Oryzias latipes: one gene and its partner. The protein of the gene in region 1 interacts with the protein of each later gene in a pairwise test. Links are inferred from orthologs where the notes say so. Each region holds a gene or a part of one and is shown in the gene's direction. Other genes may lie near its edges.

Region 1 (3,253 bases):
TGGCTGTAGGGGTGGATGGGCGCTCCCTTAGAGATAGGGTGAGAAGCTCGGTCACCTGCAGAGAACCCGGAGTAGAACCGCTTCTCCTACACATCAAAAGGAGCCAGTTAAGGTGGCTCGGGCATCTAGTCTGAATGCCCCCTGAACGCCTTCCTGGGGAGGTGTTCCGGGCATGTCCCACTGGACGGAGGCCGCGGGGAAGACCCAGGACACGTTGGAGAGACTACGTCTCTCGGCTGGCCTGAGAACACCTCCTGGTCCCCCCAGAGGAGCTGGAGGAAGTGCCCGGGGCAAGGGAAGTCTGGGCATCTTTGCTTAGACTGCTGCCCCTGCGACCCAGTCCCGGATAAGCGGAGGAAGATGGATGGATGGATGGATGGATGGATGGATGGATGGATGGATGGATGGATGGATGGATAGAGAATAGAATGGATCTTTATTTGTCACAGGTACAATGAAATTAAAAGTGCTTCCTGGTCCGTGCAACACTCATACCTTAAGCAGCCCATGATACAAACTTACTACTAAAAATAACAAAGTTAATATGTTGCTAAATAAAAGTGCATTTGTCATTAAAAAACAAACAGGATACCTAATTAAGACCATGAGAAAGACCCAGGACACACTGGAGAGACTCCGTCTTTCGGCTGGCCTGGAAACGCCTCCGGGTCCCCCCAGAGGAGCTGGAGGAAGTGGCTGGGGCGAGGGAAGTCTGGGCATCTTCGGTTAGACTGCTGCCCCAGAAGCTGGTCCCAATGAGCAGAAGAAAATGGATAGATATTAATTACTGAATTAATCGGCAGGGTGTTGACTTTGAATGTCAAGCTGGGTCAAATTAGGGGCTCAGCTGCTAATTCTCTTCTTTAAAGTGTTAGTTATTTGGCCTGTATGACCAACACATTTGTAAACAAGAACAAATTTTAATCACTGCAGATCATGCATAAATAACTGTTTGCTGAAAAAGCTTAAATGGAGTTTAACTGACCTGAATAATGTTGAATGATGTTATTATTAAAGTTACGACAAATGAATATTGAGCCAAAAAAAATTAAGGAAATAAGAGATTAGCTGAAGAACTTTGTACAATTCTAATGTAAAGATTTAAAAAATTCTGAAGAACTATATTCAGTGCAGATCCAACGGGCTGCAGTTCTCCAGTTGTCTTTTTGTCTGATGCCTGGATATAATTGAATATTGATAATTATACAGCTGAACTAAACAGGTCATATTCATATTAAATTAGCTAAAATAAAAAAAAAAAGGGGTAACAATACATTTGGGGATTCCAGCATAGATAAGTGAGAACTTATCCAGGAAGTCCCATCATCAAAGTAGCTCACAGAAACAGAAGCACAAATCACATAATTTGTTTACAATAAGTACAATAAACCACTCGGACTGTCCCGTTTCTGGTTCTTAGCTCTGACTGCTTCTCCTGCTCTCCGCCCCCTCTTCCCATCTCTGCCTGCAGCCATCTGCCTCCATCTCTTGGTCTCTGCTTCGCTCTCCCTCCTGATTCATTTGTCATGTCTATTTTTTGCTCTGTCGTTCCTACTTTTATGAGAGAAGTCTGCACAGCAAACCTTTGACTTTGTAATATTTAAATCCACCTGCCTTGTGTTGGACCGAGACGGTCTGGATCTCTGACTCTGGCCGGAATACAAAATTTAGGTGCTTGGATGGGAAAGAACCCCAAAAATGTCTTTACTGACAATTTATTTTTATCTACATGATCTAACACAATTCTATTACAGAGGCTTGATGCTGAAAAGGCTTTTCAAACTAAGGAATACCAAAATCACTAGGAAATGCCAACATTAAAGCTAAATTAGCTGAATGAGTTTTTGATTTTACACATTGGTCTATTTCAAATGCTAATTCAATTCTAAAATACTTAAATAGTAGTCATGTTTCACTTATATAGATGTTTTTAGGCTGTAATCCTCCTCCTGAAAAGTAGAAACAATAAACTCCTCAGTTTCATTTGATCGTATTTACTGTTTTATTATATTTATTTGGTACATTTATATGAATTTATATTTACATATTTATGAAAATTCTCCTGTGAATTCTCCTATTAAAAGGCTTTGGCCTATTGGCAAAAATGTATAAAAAATGTTAAAGGAATAGAGAAACACTGGCTATGTGTGTGTGTGAGTTCACTGGACCACATAAAACCACTTCACTAAAAAGCAACTTTGGCGACTTGATAATTGAGGTTGGAGGAGGGGTCATCACACAGTTCAGCAGGGTTTCTCTGACCGTCCCACCGGCAATGTTTTTGCTTTGTCCTTCCATATAAATTCTTCCAGTCTCCTCTGTCCCATGAAGTTTTCCAACCAGGTCATGGGGAGAGAAGTGTGGAAAGGGCGAATTTACAGACTTCAATTGTACTTTGTATAAAGTCACCTGAGGAGAACTGTCGCACAGTGTGATGCCGCCCTTGTTGAAGGTGACTGTGAGAGGATTTTGCCTTGTAGCGGCTAAAGTATGGCCTAACTAAAAAATAAATCAATCTCTGCAGATAAAGACAGACTATCTGATGGAATGTACCACTTTACGTCAAGAAATCACAGAAATTAAAATATGGATTTATGATGGAATGATGATTTCTGTTGCTATGTTTTTAAAGTCCTGTCACTCAAAGCAATTTCTGTGCGTGTGTGCAGGGAGCAGATAACCTTGGGGTGTCACGTAGAGGTTGTCGGATCATCTGAGTCAACCAGCTGTGAATCGAGGAGGAGGAGGAGGGGTTCGTCTCGGACAAAAGGTCGCTCTTCCAGCAGCAGGAGCAGATCCTCAGGGAGTTCCAAATACTTGGGACGCTATTCCAGAAGCTCCTCGTTGTCTTCTCGCAGGTAGATCTGACAAGATGTGTAGCAAATGAGCTCAAATCTACGTCTCCTGCAGCACCAATGTACTTTATGTCTTCACAGCTCGTACTCACGATCCCCCAGTCACTCAGATGTCAGGCGAAGAGGCAGCATGAGCAGCCTGAGCTCCAGAGGAAGCTACTCCAGACACAGTGATGACAGGTGAACTTCAGCTACTAATTCCTTTCTGTCCGTCTCTCCCCTCCTGGGTACGGGTTTCCTGGTGGTGGATATGTGTTGGTGGATGGAGTGGTACCAATTGGTTAGAGTTTGATGTGTTTGGTTGTCTGTAGCCCCCACTGAGACCCACGTGAGCAACTTTGGTCCGCCAAACACCCAAACACCGGTTGGGCCCTGGCCTGAGCTCCTCTTGAGTACTT
Region 2 (4,266 bases), on another chromosome or scaffold:
ACAGTCTAACTCAGGCAGAGATTGTGCTTACTTTGAGGGGTTTGCGTTAAATTGATGCAAAAACCCTTGCATCCCTTTTCTTACAATATTTTTTAAATATTTTTTGTTAAGAAGAAATCGCCACACATCATAATGACATTTTGTTTAAAGACATTTCTTAACAGTGATTTCAGTTCAAGACAATATTGTGTTCGTTGATTATTGTCTGATTTTCTTTGTTCTTTTTCAGGCCCAGTTTTCTTACATTGGTGCATCTCTTCACACTCGGACTCCGTTCTCATACAGAGTGCCTGTTAGCAGCCAGCTTGTTTTCCTGCTGGTCAATTTATTGTACACTCTGGTGCCTCAAGCTCTTTGCTACCGGTGTTGCACCCAGCCAGAGTTCTTCCTCAGGCCGACAGCAGAAAAGAAAGAAGATTAAATAGAAAAACAGGGGGGCTAATAATATCAAAGATGCCTTACAAAAGTTTGGCTCAACTGTGTAAGAGGGGCTGGAAAAAATAAAAATAAAATTGTTTTTATGCTTCCCATATTGGGTCTTTAGGAAGTAAATAAGCTAAAACACATTTGTTTAGGCTTTTTTTTGTTTGAATTGTAATTTTTTGCTTTGTCTTTCTGATACATAAAGATAAAATCGTATCTGTGTCAATCTGCTTATTAATATCCAATGAAAGATGGTAAGAATACATGAGTAAAGTAAGTAAATATTTATTTCTATAGCAACTTTCACAAAAAAGAATCACAAATTGCTTCACAACCCCCCCCCCCCCCCCAATTAACTACAACATCTGACACGTATCACAGACTTAACATAGTAAAAGACAATAAAAACAAATTAAAACAATAAAAGACAAAATTAGATCAGCTAAAAGCTAACTAAAAACTAAGAGGCTGCCAGTACGCGCCTCTGGCCATCACCAGGAAATGTACATGCATTCACACACCAGTGGGGCCACGCTGGAGGCAGAGAGGAGGTGTCTTGCCCAAAGACACAGCGACACTTGGCTGGGGTGAGCGGGGATCAAACTGCCAACCCTTCAAACTTTGGCTCACCTGCTTAACCACCTGAGCCACTGCATCCCCAAAGTTAATATAAAAATAAAGTTTTCTTGTAAATAAGACACGTTAATAATAGTCTACTCTTTATTCAACCATATTTTTCATTCCCCTCAGACTTCTATTCTCTTTATGTGTTAATTTTGTCAATTAAAATGAGACATGTCTATTTATTTAAATTATCCACTGGGAATATGTGTGTGTAATTACAATACTGAAATTATGATTTAAAGAATCACTTGAAAGTCTTTGAAAAAAAGTGTGTTGCTGTGATTCATTCACACCATTGTTAGGAACCAAAGAAGAAGAAGACACTTCAAAAACGGAAGTACTTCCCTTCGACTTCCTGTTTTCAGCATAGAAGCTCTTTATTTAGCTAACTCTTTTTTTTCCGTTCTATTTTAAACAAACTACTGATTTCTTCTGAAACCCGTATCTGTCTCACTCTGCAAAATAAACAAAGACATACTGGATAAAAGAGTTTAGCCAAAAAATATAATAAAATTGACCGGTGTGTAAACTTCAAATGAGCTCAATAGTTAGCATACTAGCTATCGCTCGTTGAGATGGCAGCCTCCATTCCTGGTCCAATTTCTGCTCCAATTTTAAGGTTAGTAACATCTGGCGATTTTACGAATATACATCATTTTATTAGTATATAGTAGTATTTTCACTCGTTGATTGTAATCAACACAACTAAAGTTGTTGGCTAAGAGGATAAGTTATTCATTCATTCAGACTTGTCGTCATCTTTCGTGTTGTATTGAAAATGTACTGCAATGCGTTTCTGAAAGGCTTTTGTATTCTTCGCTACAGTCAGAAGCAACGCAAGGCTGCTCAGCGCAAAGAGAGGAGACGGAGGAAACGTCAAGCTGTTGCCCAAGCCAGAGAGTCCGGTAAGGGGATAGCTGTTCAGTGCTTTTGGGTTTGTTCAGGAAGTCACGTGGGGGGATTTTACCTGTATTGCCCCCCACCCTTACACATAATGATTTGTTTTATTACAGATGTCCAGGGTGAAGCTGAAGAAGAGTGTACAGTTGATGAGGAAAATGGGGAGGATACTGGCTTAACTGAGGAAGAAAGGTTTGTAGCTGACCTACAGTTACACCATCTGTGACCGAGAACATCTTCATCACTTGATTGTTAATGTGCTCTGTTTTATAGACTACAGTTGCATAAGGAATGGCTGGAAAGAGAGAGGCTGGCCCAGGAGGAGTTTAGGTTAAGGGTGGAGAGGGAAGAAACTGCACGCAAAAAAAAGGAAGAAGAAGAGGTCATTTATTTTCTATTCTTACTGATGTTTTAGGTACCATAATAGTAATAATGCACTGATAGAGCTCGCTGGCTTTGAACTAAGTGACCATTTAGTTCCAACAAAATGTTTTACATTCATTTGCCCACACATAGATTAGGAGACCAGATTTGTGGTTTATTGATTTTTAAAATAGGATGTTTAAAAATTACAAATCCATTGAAAACATTTCTTCAGGTTGTTAGGGTGATGCACTTTTCTCACACGCACTTCTATGGATGCTTAACAAATCCCTTTGTTTGAAAGTGTCATTCCAAATGAACCCGTGTGTCCTCGTGTTCGTGTACAGCGGATGATAAAGGAGGAATGGGAGGCCCAGCAGAAGAGAGAACAAGAGGAGAAGGAGCAGAAGCTTCAGGAGAGGCGGGACAGAGAGGTGAAACGGACTCCGGGAGGATAGAAACATAAAGAAATATATCCTCTTTTATCTACAGAGTGTTTATAGTGATCATGCAGAACTTTAAATAATCTGCACTATAAGATATGTTGAACTTTTTGCAAATTATTGTGTTATTTGTATTTTTCTGTTCCTTGACTAAGTGGCACAAGCATTTTTCTTGCTCCTTGACTAAGACACACTCAAAGAGAACACCTTCACCCCCCACAACAAGAACGTATCTTTTACTTTGTGTGAAAACAGTGGAAATGGAACAGAAGTCTGATACGAATAAATGTTAAACCCCAAATATTTTGGTGCCTGTCAGTCCATGTGAAGGGTCTTAACCCAGAATGACAGACATGCGGCAGTATGTTGACGTCTTCACATTTTCACCAGCCATGTCTTTACACCATTTGTAGGAAGCTGTTCAGAAAATGCTGGATGAAGCAGAAAATCAGGTAAAAAAAAACAAAACAAACACTTGGGATATTAAATAAAAAATAAATTTGACAGTTATGGATTTAAAACACTTTGTTTATGAAGTCTGCGTAAGTGTTTACATCATCATGTGCTATGTGCTACAATCATGTTTTAGGATGCCAGACTCTGTCATGTTTTCATGGTTTTGTTGCATTGCAGCTTGAACATAAAGGACCATGGATGAACCCTGAGGCTCCTGTGAACATGAACTTTGAGAATTATGGAACAGAGCGTGATGTTGCCAACTGTCCTTTCTTTCTGAAGACCGGAGCTTGTCGATTTGGAGAAAGGTGCTTTTCTTTTTTCCATTGCTAATATCATTTTTAAATGTACATCTTACTTCGAGGCAATTTTTCCCTATAAATTTGATCATATTTATCCCACTTTTTTTTTTTTTTTTTTTACGTGTGCAGATGTTCTCGGAAGCATGTCTACCCCACATCCAGCCCGACTCTCATGATCCGTGGCATGTTTATGACCTTTGGGATGGAGCAATTGCGGCGCGACGATTATGACATGGACGCTTGTTTAGAGCACAGTGAGGAGGACCTGCACGAGTCTTTCCTTGAGTTTTACCATGACGTTCTCCCTGAGTTTAAGAGTGTTGGCAAGGTGGTGCAGTTCAAGGTAAGATAGCCGTGTATGGCTGTGCTTTTTTTTTAAACCCTTTTTTATTTTTTTTGGAAATATTTTGGCTCCAGTGTATTATTTTGAAGCAGAACTTCCTTCTCAGTCGTGATACTTTAGCGACATCCTTCTATTTTGTCCTAAAATTAGTTTTTGCTGAAGAAAATACACTTTTAGTCGGTTTGACACTTTTTTTCTGTTCTTATCAGGTCTGCTGCAATTACGAACCACACCTGAAAGGCAATGTTTATATTCAGTTTGAGACGTAAGTTTACAACAAATCCATTATCATTAGACTTTAGATACTTAGGTGGATAAGTCTTTATTTGTGTGTCCTCTTGTTTTTCTAATCAGAGATGATCAGTGCAAGGAGGCGTTAATGAAGTTTAATGGGAGGTGGTACGCAGGCAGG

Evidence for each region. The genes of interacting proteins can lie anywhere in the genome.
Region 2: the proteins of srrm4 (region 1) and zrsr2 interact in binary tests that used the Homo sapiens proteins (3 or more experiments, as listed by UniProt). The link is inferred for Oryzias latipes from reciprocal best matches to the Homo sapiens genes SRRM4 and ZRSR2.

The regions. Positions count from the first base shown.
Region 1 is NC_019867.2:3,762,308-3,765,560, forward strand, and holds part of srrm4 (serine/arginine repetitive matrix protein 4), read left to right. Parts: intron 1-2,669; coding exon 2,670-2,858; intron 2,859-2,936; coding exon 2,937-3,035; intron 3,036-3,253. UniProt on the Homo sapiens protein: Splicing factor specifically required for neural cell differentiation.
Region 2 is NC_019861.2:13,881,253-13,885,518, forward strand, and holds the start of zrsr2 (U2 small nuclear ribonucleoprotein auxiliary factor 35 kDa subunit-related protein 2), read left to right. Parts: upstream 1-1,378; 5' UTR 1,379-1,622; coding exon 1,623-1,666; intron 1,667-1,872; coding exon 1,873-1,952; intron 1,953-2,060; coding exon 2,061-2,139; intron 2,140-2,220; coding exon 2,221-2,329; intron 2,330-2,657; coding exon 2,658-2,744; intron 2,745-3,166; coding exon 3,167-3,205; intron 3,206-3,386; coding exon 3,387-3,517; intron 3,518-3,640; coding exon 3,641-3,854; intron 3,855-4,063; coding exon 4,064-4,119; intron 4,120-4,208; coding exon 4,209-4,266. Other genes in the region: tm6sf1 (transmembrane 6 superfamily member 1), read left to right, coding at 230-421. UniProt on the Homo sapiens protein: Pre-mRNA-binding protein required for splicing of both U2- and U12-type introns. Selectively interacts with the 3'-splice site of U2- and U12-type pre-mRNAs and promotes different steps in U2 and U12 intron splicing.